Linked DNA regions of Nothobranchius furzeri. The protein of the gene in region 3 interacts with the protein of the main gene of each other region in a biochemical or structural test. Links are inferred from orthologs where the notes say so. Each region holds a gene or a part of one and is shown on either strand. Other genes may lie near its edges.

Region 1 (3,650 bases), on a different chromosome or scaffold from region 3:
CGATTTCAGCTCTGGACTCCTTGCTCTGCATAAGGGCTGGACCAGCAGATGATGCTCACTTTTACTTAGACAAGCACATTAGTGCGTCTTAATCAAGCATTCAGTCTAAAGCCGCAGTAATGAATATATATTTAACAGCAGGGATTCTTTAATTACAGCCCTTTCTGCATCACGTTCCTCTTGTGCTTAAAGACCAAGGTTGCTGAGAAACTATTTTTTTAATCGTTAACTTTGAGCTATGATTGGCCACATGCAGGATGAACGTGAAAATAGTCTTCTACCTCTATTTTCTGCATTTACTCGTCAATTAGTAAATAAACAAGTAAAAGATTGAATTAGAAAAGCCAGCCAGCCAATTCCACATCACATATAAAATGTGCATTCATGGACTCACCCATGTTGGCTTGTAACGGGGAAGGCTGTGGTTGGTTGGTTGGTTGGTTGGTTTAGTGTCCAGGAAAGACTAGAGCCCATCTCAACTAGTAGAAACTTACCGTTAGCATTAGCAACTCCACCACGCAGCAGAACTCCTTCAGGCTTGAGTTATTTGTGGAGATAAAACATCAAAGTTGCAGAGCAAGCAGTCAGTGGTAGAGTCACATTGCTGTTAGCCAATCAGAGGCCAGATGTCTGAATATCAGGAAATGAGACCAAATTCTGCCATCTTCTGCTCACCTCTCATCTGGCTAACGTCTAGTTCCTGAAACAGGAGCACCAGAGCTTTTTTTACCCCACAGAGATCACACTCATTCATATAGAGACCACTGCAGATGGGTTGACAAAAATGAGTAAACTCTGCCTTTAACGAGCAGAAAAACAAAGTTGGGGTTTAACTCGCACTGATCATCACAAAGGCAGTGGCAGAGGAAGTAAACTTATGTAGAATAAATGTTTATTTTCCTATAGACGTACACATCACTGCACGCAGTAAGGCAATTGATAAGTGAATCTATTATTCATGTCTGTTATCAGTAGTTACATGCTGCCAGGCAGAAAAGGACTTTCTGTTTACACTTCAGACTCCATGACATCACTCCTCATGTTTTGTTTTTTGACTTTACCTCAAATGTGCAGAGTTACAAGAGAGCAATAGGGGAGGTTAGTATCTCTGTCGTCTTGTGTGATCCTGCATGGATTTGTATTGGTGTTCCTGGACTTCTACGTGTTTATGGAGAATCACATGCATGCTGTAAAGCCTTCATTCATTTGAGGCGTTGTTTTTCTTTTGAATTAAATAATATTCTGTTTATAATTTGTGCCATTTGACTATTTTAGTTATTTTTCCCAATATAAGGATGCCCTGAATTGTAAACCATTTGATTCCCAGTTGAGTACTTTCTCTGGATGGGACCTCACTCATGTTTTTGATAATCTAAATAGTAATTATGCATTTGTTAATGTTGTGCTCATTCTTTACATCTTTAATTGTTTAGAATGTTTTGAATGCATTCTCAAAGTAAACAAAGCTGTATGCGGGTGCAGGATCATGGCCTCTATGCCAAGGAGCGTGCCGAGGAGCCACCGAGGCCTCCTGTCAAGGCCAATGATTACTCCTCCTCTTCAGAGAGCAACGAAAGTAGCGAAGAAAGTGAGAGTGGCGAGGCAGCAGAGGAGGAGGAAAGCCCAACGGATCGGTAATGCTTGCACAAATAAACTTTTACAAATGAGGTAACGGAAAACTGAGTAGGCCTAAATGTTCAGTCACAGGGATGCAGACACCGATTCGGTCAACACCATGGTGGTTCATGAAGACGAAGGCGAGGCAGAGGGGGAGCAAGCAGGAGTTTATGGGGACCAGACCATGCTGGTGCAGCGGGTGAGTCACGCCAACTTCAGATCATGTTTAAGATGCTTTTTGATTTCTGCAGAGGAATCTGCATGGTGGCAAATATTGTAGAGCAGGGAGATGAATTCATTCAACTCATCATGTTAGACATTTATTTAGGAAGTATAACATCATTTTTACTGTTTTTGCAAACTTCTCAACAAACAGATCTAATTCCAAAAATGATTTAAAATCATTTTTATAGCAACTCTTTTTTTGATTCCAGTTTAACAGAATTAATAAAGGGCATAAACGCTTTTTATTTCTAAAGCCTCATTAATCTGCCTCCATAAAGTCGTCAGGCCTTACTTGTGCAGAAATACACAGAATTTAGAACAACACTAAAACAAAAAGGTCCCTTACTTTATTTTGTGGATTTGTTTTTATTCAGTTATTTAGTTTATATAAAAGATCAAACAGGAATAAACAATATATTTAAATGTTGACACAATGCAACTGTTTAAATTATTCACTTCATTCTGTGATCTGCTGGTTTCTTATTATTAGACCCTTAAATATTTGTAAAGGTTTTTAATGAAAGTTGCCTGAAGCTCCCCTCCAGCTAAATGCTGTTAGTTTGTCAGATAAAGCATCTCTGAGATATTTGGGGAGACGACCATGACAGCATGCATTTCTGGATGGCTCCTAATGAGTTGAATAGGAACAGTGTCTCCTTGACTGAGGGGTTTTGTGTGTGTGTGTGTGTGTGTGTGTGTGTGTGTGGGGGGGGGGGGGGGGGGGAGGTTTAAATAGTGAAATTACAGTTTTGGTATCCTAATTGATACAATGACACACACTGCAGGTTCATGCTAACAGTAGTAGGTCTTCACAGCCGTCTCTGACAGCTCTGAGGCTCAGCTGCAGCACAGGAGCAGTAGCTGTCCTATATTTATGTCACCATCTGGATTGGTCAGCCATCATCCTCACAGGACTTCATGCCCTCTGGAAAATTTGTTTTATTAAAATTACGGCAATTTGGAAAAGTTAGTTTGTCGACTCGCTTTTCTTCAGTTTTCACAAAATAAAAACAAGGATGTCTGAAGAACTTACTGACATTTGATTGAGTTGACAGCTAGAAGTCACTCAGTAAAGACTTCAACTCATTCATGTTTCCAGCCTGCAGAGACGATAAAGCAGCTGACCTGTTATAGAAAAGGCACAAGCTACGTTTAAAGGGATTACTGCTTCTTTACTGTCGTCACATAATACAAGTATCTGTCTATTTGACCTGAAAGACCCCGGAGAAGAGGAGCCATAATGGATACACTAACTTGCCAGATGTGGTGCAGCCTTCCCACTCTCCCACTGAATCAGCCACTCACTCCTCTCCTGGGAAAGACTCTGTTTATGATGTAAGTTGTCCTGATGCTAAGTTTGTCAGCCCTGGTTTTAGGGTTTATTTTTATTTCTTCTATGTATGCCATCATTTCTGCTAGACGCCATCATTTCAGTATGATACTGGCATCAGTAGCACATGTTGTTATGATTCTCTGATGTGAAAAGGTGAAAGTTTCCACAGAGTTTATGTAGACTTGTTTATCTCACCCACCCTTTCTGTTTCACCAGTATCAGTCCAGAGGTTTGGTGAAGGCATCTGGCAAGTCTTCCTTCACTACTTTTGTAGATCTAGGCATGTACCAGTCTCCGGGAGGAACAGGAGATAACATGTCAATCAGCAGTGAGTCGGAACATTTTTAAATGTGCTTAGAGTTGATTATTAGAGAACTTTCGTCTTCTTGTTTATTTGTCTTTTGCAGTCAAACATAAAGAAAACAACATGATTGTTTTGATGCTATTGTGGCGTTTTGGATGAAGTTGTTGATGC
Region 2 (4,113 bases), on a different chromosome or scaffold from region 3:
AGAAAAAACAGACACAACTCACGTTTGTTTACGACTGAGCTTGACTGGGGGGTCTTGGGTTGTTGGAGCATCTCTGACTGATCAGCAGGAAGTCCTCCAGCCAGTATGCTAGAGTTGTTGTGAGTGTGATCCTCTGTGGACAACGACCTTCTCATTCCTCTCGCATCTTCCACGCGCTCCTCGGTGGTTCTGATGACACAATTACACTCCTGTTGATCTAGTTTCTTCCTCAGCCTGTTCTTTATGGGGGTAAACATCCTCCCCTGAGACACAGGACTAAGAGGGGTTGCTCTCTTATCAGACACACTCCTTCCCGTGCTTTCTACTGACTGTCTCTTCACTGGACTCCTGCTGGACAAAACACGTGACTCCCAGATCTGAGGTGTCCTTTGGTGGATCTGATCTCTGGTGACCGAAGAGAAAGGCTGAGACACAGCTGTTGACTCCATTAAAGTCCCGTCTCTCAGCTTTCGTTTGTATCCACACAAATCAGTCATTGGAGATGTTTCCCGCAACGATGAGTACCCACATTTCTTCTGGGGACTCGAAATGGGCGAAAGAGTCAAAGCCTGCGCTTCGTTGTAATGAGAATCAACCGTTTTGTTTTCCTTGTGTTTGTCGACCGTGTTCGTAGATTTCCTCCAGGGAGAGAGAAAAGCTGCCCCATGTTTCTCTCTAACGCTTAACAGCGGATTGTTGCCTATAAAATCGTCCAGCTTCGCGTTCATCGCCTCCATCTGCACTTTAGATTTGAGCCTCGCAAACACCTTTGCGGGAGATTCGAAGTAGGAATGTGTGTGTTGTAATGAATTAAATGACGCCATAGTTTAACACATTAAACGGGACCTAATGTATCCGGTTTCCAGACTAGTAGCTAGCTCGCTAGCCTAGCGCGCTATTTTCGAATTTCTCTGCGCTGCTGTCTTTGGCTGGAATTCTCTGACGTACACCCAAAACAAAACGTCAGTACAGTTTTACGTCCGCTACGCACGCTTCTTCGCGTTCTTCTTCAAAAGACAAAACTTCGCAAGTCTCGATCTGTTAAAATGTGTAGCTAAAAATTAACAACTGAAAAAGTGGAGGTTAAAATGCCTATATCTATAAAAATAAGTCCTGTTTCGAGCCACTCTTCTCTGTACATGTAGAGACAAAGAGGGAATGTAGAGGGCGGTAAAACAAAAAGGCCAAAAAAAAACCATAGAAGAAGAAATAGGACGCGAAGAAGACAACCGCGCGTGCGCAGTTTAAATAACTTTCCCGAATAAGCTTGTTGTTAGACGCGAAGTTGAGAGAAGCAGTTTTGAAAGAGAGTATTTGTGTTAGATTTTTTAAATTCGATATAGTCTAAGTGGTTGTTTACACCAGTAAGGGATACACGCTTTATTTTACAGGTTTTGGGATATAAAGTGTTGTTTTCTGTGTGAAAACTAGCGAACCAGTGTGGCTGAGTGATGCAACATGGCAGCAAGTGCTGTCACTAGATGTTTTCTGTCAGCATTGAGGACACAGGCTCGGAGTCAGGCTGGAGTTCACCTTTCGGGACAGAGTCGGGTGCTTTCTACTGTGATGTGTAAAAACGGAGAGTCGCGGGGGAACACGAGCCTCGAGAGGAGAGCTCCAGCTCGGGACGAGGGACGAGGTCGGAGACTGAACCCTTCCATCTGGAAGTCTGTCGGTTTGGCGATATGCGGTGCGGTCCTCCTGGACAGGGATAAGGACGAACACGGAGACGCTAAAGTTCTCAAACCCGGGAGCTGTGTTGGACTCATTCTTGCCTCGGCTCAGTGCGCTTCTCCCTTTAAACCCGACAGCCCCAGATTCAGATACAACTTTATAGCGGATGTGGTGGAGAAGTCCGCTCCAGCTGTGGTCTACATAGAAATCCTGGGCAGGTGAGTTCTTCTGGGGGCTTGAAAACTTTTAAAAATGTTGAAATTGGAATTGGGTATCTTCAAAGTTTGGGAAGTGCTTTAATTTGTTTAAATAGGTACTTAAAAGGTGCATGAAACTAACTTATCAGACCAGGAAGTAAAATAACGGTAATCATGAGCATGTACATACATTGTTTATGCACGTGAAAGTAGCATCAGCTTTAAGATGCTGGAAAAGCTTGAAAACTTTCCTTGAAAGTGCTTGAAAAAAAGCTTTAATTTAAAAATTGAAACCCTTACTCAGATCTGGTGGCTCATGAAGAATATTCATTTAACTGGTTTAACATTTAGATTAGCAGGAGTAATCTCAGTGAGATTCAGAATCTCCTTTACAATAGAGTCTTGGCCAAGACAGCAGCTTAATTGGTTTCAAAATAAAAGAAATCTAATAAAAAAGAAGAGAAAACTAAAGCCAATACATTGGCATGATCACCAGCAGTGTCCATTAGCAACACATGTCCATTTAGTCATGGGAAAAATCCTTAATCCTAGATTTGAACTGTGCCATTATTGGTAAAATAATCTAAATTGAAGTGACTGTGCTACTTAAACCAGGATGGGGGTGTAAAAACCTTTAAAGCATTTATTTTGTAGAAGAACAAGTCAGATTTCTAACAGTGCTAATAGTAGATACATATTATCTGTTTAAACGTGACATTGTGATGAGAAACTGAAATGTGGTATTTAATCTAATTGAAAGTTGTTTATTTCTAATGTTTGGTGATTTTTACTCTCTTTTATTTTCAATTATTATAAATATGACCCAAAAAAATTATGAAAATAAACATGTTTTTAACTTCAGGCTAAATCTTGCGTTTGTTTCACAGACACCCGTTTTCAGGAAGAGAAGTTCCTGTTTCGAATGGTTCCGGTTTCATCGTCAGCAGCGACGGCCTCATCGTCACTAACGCTCATGTTGTGGCCAATAAGAGAGCGGTCCGTGTGAAGCTCCCAAATGGAGACTCTTATAACGCTACTGTGCAGGATGTGGACCCTGAGGCAGACATAGCTACCATTAGAATCACTCCAAAGGTGAACAAACACTTAGAATATAACAGGGGGAAGCAGTCTAGATCTGCTGCAGACTCTGGATGAAGATTTATTCACATTAATGGAGCCAGATGGAGATTATTATTTATTTTTGGACAGTTAGGCTGTTTAAAATGATGCTTAAAATTTAGCAGAAGTGTGGCGCACACCCCCTTCTGTCATTTTCTATTTTAATGAGTCATTTCTTAATATTTTTGTGATTATTTGAGTTTTGCTTAATATTTTCTGTCAGTATTTAAGTTGTTTCTGCTAATTAGTTATTGAGAAAATACAGATTTGCTGAATTTTACATAATCGAATAATAAAAGTATCATAATAAAAGACTGTGATCCAAATATTATGAAAGACAAGGATTATGAAAGGTGTTGTCACCATTTACCGAGCAGGCACCAGTGATCTGGTTGAAGAACTCAAGAATTACCTCATTTATTTTTGTGTAATAGCTCCTGAAAGTCCTCGTTTCCCCCCTCCTGATGTGCAGAGTCCGTTACCCACGCTCACACTCGGTCAGTCATCGGACGTTCGACAAGGAGAGTTCGTGGTTGCCATGGGAAGTCCGTTCTCGCTGAGAAACACGATCACATCCGGGATCGTCAGCTCAGCTCAGAGGGGCAGCAAAGAGCTCGGCCTTTCCAACTCCAACATGGAGTATATCCAGACCGACGCCACAATCGACGCGAGTACTTTTTCTTCATTTTACATAGTTTAACCCTTTTTAGGACCAATATTCCTGAATGTAGATTTCCCATGACTCAAGTATTTTTATTATTACTTGTTTTCTTTGCAGTTTGGAAATTCTGGAGGTCCTTTGATTAATCTGGTGAGTTGAGGTTCCTGCTCAGTTGAGCTGTAACACTTCTACCTGGTTTGGATTATTGTGAAATGACTAAAACAGAGTTAACTCTTCTGTTTCATTTCCTGAAGTGAACTAATACAATTAGAATGAGCTACGACCACCAGATGAACACATCCGTGCACCATCTTTAGATTTCACTAATACTCCTTTTTTTAAATCAGGATGGAGAGGTGATTGGGATCAACACCATGAAGGTGACTGCAGGGATCTCATTTGCTATCCCGTCTGATCATGTGAAGGTTTTTCTTGAAAAAGCAGCAAAAAGAAAAAGTAAGA
Region 3 (4,108 bases):
GAAGCCGCGACACCGCGGAGTGGTGGGTAGACAGGAGGTGGCCCGGGGCTGTCGGGGCGGTACACCATCCCATCTGCCATGTGAGGACCGAGGCGGGGAGCGAGGGCCTCCTTAGAGCCCTTCCAGCTAGGCCTCCTGAGCACCACCTGCTGCATGTGAGAAGATCCTACACGACAGTAAAGATCTTGTCAGATTTAAGTGAAGAACAAAGACAACTTAAACTAGGATTTCACTGGGCTGTGACTGTAGGCGGCAAAAGGAAAATACATAAAAATATAGAAAAAAAAGTTTTCTACAAATCGTCTCAGAAGAGATGCTCATGACGCCCCTCGCGGCCTGGCCATGTAAAGAAGCTGTCATAAGTGTCGTGTAGGCACTTCCGAGCGACTAAGAATCTTTTTACACAATTACTTATATTATCAGTATCACATAACAGTGGAAATTACAACCGATACTACAGATGCATCTGTGTTCCCTCTACGTATATAATACCAGCGAGAGCATGAATAAGCACCAAAACCCTCCGTTCTGTTCTGTTATGAAGCTGTACAGTGACTCATGTTTGGAAGCAGGTACTGTCACCATCCTGATCCCTGCAAACAATATGAGGGCTGAGTCCAAAGGTCATGTAGAAGAAAGAAGGAAAACTAACACGGATCCCAGAGGACTGTTACCTGGAGCTTTCAGGCCTGAAGAGCTGGTGTTAGCAGCCATGACCGGCTCCCTCATCTGGTCCTGGTAGTTGGTCGCACCGCGACGCTACGGAGGCCAAAGTAGATCCATTAAGAAATTCCTTCTTCATGCAATGACTTATAATTTCTAATCTACAATAAAAATGATTAGAAAATTAACAAAAGATGTTTATAATTTAAAAGAATAAAACAATCTAATTTTCCCAAGACTGTTGCTTTTCACCCTCTGAACACGGTTGAACCCGCGCACCTGCGCTGCCTACCATGATACTTTTCATCATGTACTCACGCAAACCAGACGCTTGTTATTTCACATTGCATACCTAGCATTTCCCAAATAACTGCCCTCTAAACACAGTGCAGCAGGTGATTATCTTCTATTACAAAGGCACGAACAGAATGAGAACCTGTCACAATTCCTCATTAAGAATGTGTTTATGAGGGCAAAAGGGATAAACTCTTAATAACTCCGCTTACCTCCTCAAACCCGGCGCATGGTTGCTCCAGACACATCGGTTTGTTAATGTCTGAAGTGCTTGATGAACCATTCACCTCGTAGGGCACCAGGGACTTGCGAATCTCCTGTAATGCCTTATGGTGCTTGGGATTGCTGGAGCGCCTTGGATCTTCAGGAGCCATCTTTCCGTGTCCGCCGTTGTCCACTTTAGAAGAATCAGAAGGTTTGGACATGTCGCGCAGACTTTTTCGGATTTCCATCAGCATTTGCTGGCTGTTGCCGCTGCAGTTGCCGACCGGTAATATTTTGGGCCTCATCTGTCTGTATCCTTCGGGTTTCTCCCCCCTCCTCATGTACGAGCATGTATGATGATGACGATGATAAAAGGGATGGAGAGGATATCACCAATCCAGGGTGGCGACAATAGCGGACGTTTTCCCGATGTCTGACCTCACATCTATGTGCTGCAGCGGAAAATATTTGATGCCAGTTGAAAGTGAGATAAACAAGCAACCAGAGTACACATAATGTTACCAAACAGGTTCAGCAAAATGAGATTGAGAGAAGTAATTAACAGAGCCCAACTTATTTCTTTACCAGAACGTTCCTACATATTTTACATTTCAGATCTACTTTCATTCTTGAGCTCAAATGTTAAGATATTTCTGCCATTTTTAAAATGTAAAGATATGAACATTTACTGTAAATTTACAGTAACAAGGTCTGTATACTATAAATAAAAATCACCACTGACTGTGCAAAACAACAACAAGGATTTCTGGGAATTTCCCCTAAATAAAACTAGTTATCTGTTTTTAATAAGCTTGTATTCCTAATGAAAAAGTCTAATTTGATTAAAGATCAGGTGTATATTTAAAGCTATTTCCACTTAGATCAACATAGAGCTCTGAAAATGTTTGGGTGAACTTGTGATAAGTTGAAAACAGTGAGGGAAACATGTGGAAAGTGATCATTTAGAAAAGTTTTACAATACAATTCGTTTTTAATCAAATTAAAACCTTCCAGAAAATAAAGTCTAGGAACACACACGTTTTCTATATTTTGTTCTCAATAATTAATGATCTGGAAATACTCAAAACATATAAGATACTTTTTCATGCCTCTCAATCCTTTTGTAAATAAATAACCTGTTTCTGTCACGCTTGGAAGTCATGTGTTGATAAAAAAATAGTTATGATTGTTTATCGTTTACTTTTGAGTGAAATTCGGCGTACGTAAATTTTAAGGTAAAAAATGTCTCGATTGGAACTGACTTCATTAAAAGACCCCATTCCGTGTGTATAGCCTCCTTAGCACTCTATGCTAACATAACGCTAATTTTACGTAAATTCTCCGGCGTTGGGTACGGATTTTTGTCACAATTAAACGTTTATAAGGATAGTCAAAAGAGTGGGCGAATACTGAGTTTAAGAGTTTTAAAAAGGATTAAAATCAAACAACACAGCAGTTTTCAAGCGGCCTGTGTGTAATAGGAATCCATTTGATGCTATTCAACAACAGGTTGCGCATTAGCCTGCTAGCTCCGATAACAACAACTCACCAAAGTCCGCCGCTGTCGCTTTTCCTATTATTAACGGACAGTAGTGGTTTGCTGACCCTCCTCGGCGTCGAGGACGCGATTTGAAGTTAAAATGCCCTTGTTGTTCCGCGCCGACTGGTTCCTAGTCTTGTTGAATTCCTGGGATATCTGAATGACAAGTACAACAGCTAAGCTAACGACGCACCATCAGACGCTGGACTTTCACAATAAAAGTCAGTGGAGAAATTACTTTTTTGCTAAGTTTAGAACAAAATAACACTAATAAAACTAATGAAGAAAATTTTAATGCTTTTTTTTATAAGTTTTTTTTTGCTAACCTGTTAATGAAGTCCAAACACATTTCACAGCACAAATCTTAGAAATAAAAAAATAAGAGCATTAATATGTATAAAAATAAATCAATTTCCCTTTGGGTGAGCACATAACATCTATTTGTAAATTTACAGAGCAACATAAGAGCTCACAAGGCTGACTTTGACATTTTTATGTTGGTAGGTTTGATTTACAATTTTACTTGATTTGTCAGTATAAAAAAACGTAACATCCTGAGACAATTTGAGAAAGTTACATTTTATTTCTTTATTGTTTTTTAAGTAATCTGTACAAAACATTATTAATCTGAACAATTGTGTACAGAATGACATACAAAAACACTAATCCATATTCTGTCACTGCAAAGAATGAAGCATTGCATCAGACACAGAGGTCTTTCATTGCGTAGGTATATTGGCTTTTTGTGTAACAAAAAAAAAGTCTTCCAATGTGTCACAAAACATCAAATTAAAATTTGCATTCATGTATTTATTAGTCACCTCCAGATCTTTTAAACTGGGACCTGTTTGTTGATAAAAATAGCCTCTCCATCAGTTCCACAAACTAAGCACTGTCCAAGCACATCCAAGCTGTTGACAGACAGCGTCTGGCTGGGCAGCATGTGGGTCGTCTCCAGGCGGCTTTTACTGGAGTCTCCGTTGAGCCAGGCACTGATGAGGGACTGGTTTCCTCCAGCAAGGGCCATCGCACTGCGAGAGGTCACGCTGCTGTTTCTGCTACCTGGAAACACAACAATAACACTTTTTACAGTGAAATTACGACAAATAGTACAACATGACAATGTTTAATAGACTGACCTGGTGTTGGACATTATCAGGAAATTCTTTGTTTATTTAACCCTAAATAATGTAAACTTTCAGTAAAACATTCAACTGGATATTTTCTTGATTATGGCTTTTGTGTTTCCATAGAATCTTTATAATTAAGAAAATAGAAGAAGTACATAGGCAGCCTTTTAAACTGAATACCAATAATAATAATAATAATGATTATTATGATGAATAGGACTTGCCTTGTAGAAAGGAGGGCATGTCTGAGTGGGAGGACGTCTCCCAGTGCAGCAGC

What was found.
Region 1: of the proteins of lats1 (region 3) and mink1, one has a biochemical effect on the other in vitro, tested with the Homo sapiens proteins (2 studies listed by BioGRID). The link is inferred for Nothobranchius furzeri from reciprocal best matches to the Homo sapiens genes LATS1 and MINK1.
Region 2: the proteins of lats1 (region 3) and serine protease HTRA2, mitochondrial form a complex in vitro, tested with the Homo sapiens proteins (2 studies listed by BioGRID, with this or other methods). The link is inferred for Nothobranchius furzeri from reciprocal best matches to the Homo sapiens genes LATS1 and HTRA2.

What each region holds. Positions count from the first base shown.
Region 1 is NC_091750.1:48,005,457-48,009,106, reverse strand, and holds part of mink1 (misshapen-like kinase 1), read left to right. Parts: intron 1-1,074; coding exon 1,075-1,098; intron 1,099-1,482; coding exon 1,483-1,634; intron 1,635-1,701; coding exon 1,702-1,816; intron 1,817-3,060; coding exon 3,061-3,177; intron 3,178-3,391; coding exon 3,392-3,503; intron 3,504-3,650. UniProt on the Homo sapiens protein: Serine/threonine kinase which acts as a negative regulator of Ras-related Rap2-mediated signal transduction to control neuronal structure and AMPA receptor trafficking.
Region 2 is NC_091758.1:31,041,831-31,045,943, forward strand, and holds the start of serine protease HTRA2, mitochondrial, read left to right. Parts: upstream 1-1,264; 5' UTR 1,265-1,458; coding exon 1,459-1,892; intron 1,893-2,758; coding exon 2,759-2,963; intron 2,964-3,424; exon of another isoform or gene 3,425-3,462; coding exon 3,463-3,657; intron 3,658-3,768; coding exon 3,769-3,801; intron 3,802-3,998; coding exon 3,999-4,107; intron 4,108-4,113. Other genes in the region: mis18bp1 (mis18-binding protein 1), read right to left, coding at 23-824.
Region 3 is NC_091742.1:11,411,083-11,415,190, forward strand, and holds the start of lats1 (serine/threonine-protein kinase LATS1), read right to left. Parts: upstream 2,852-4,108; 5' UTR 2,711-2,851; intron 1,716-2,710; exon of another isoform or gene 1,614-1,715; 5' UTR 1,503-1,613; coding exon 1,170-1,502; intron 760-1,169; coding exon 675-759; intron 167-674; coding exon 1-166. Other genes in the region: nucleoporin Nup43, read right to left, coding at 3,534-3,763, 4,056-4,108. UniProt on the Homo sapiens protein: Negative regulator of YAP1 in the Hippo signaling pathway that plays a pivotal role in organ size control and tumor suppression by restricting proliferation and promoting apoptosis.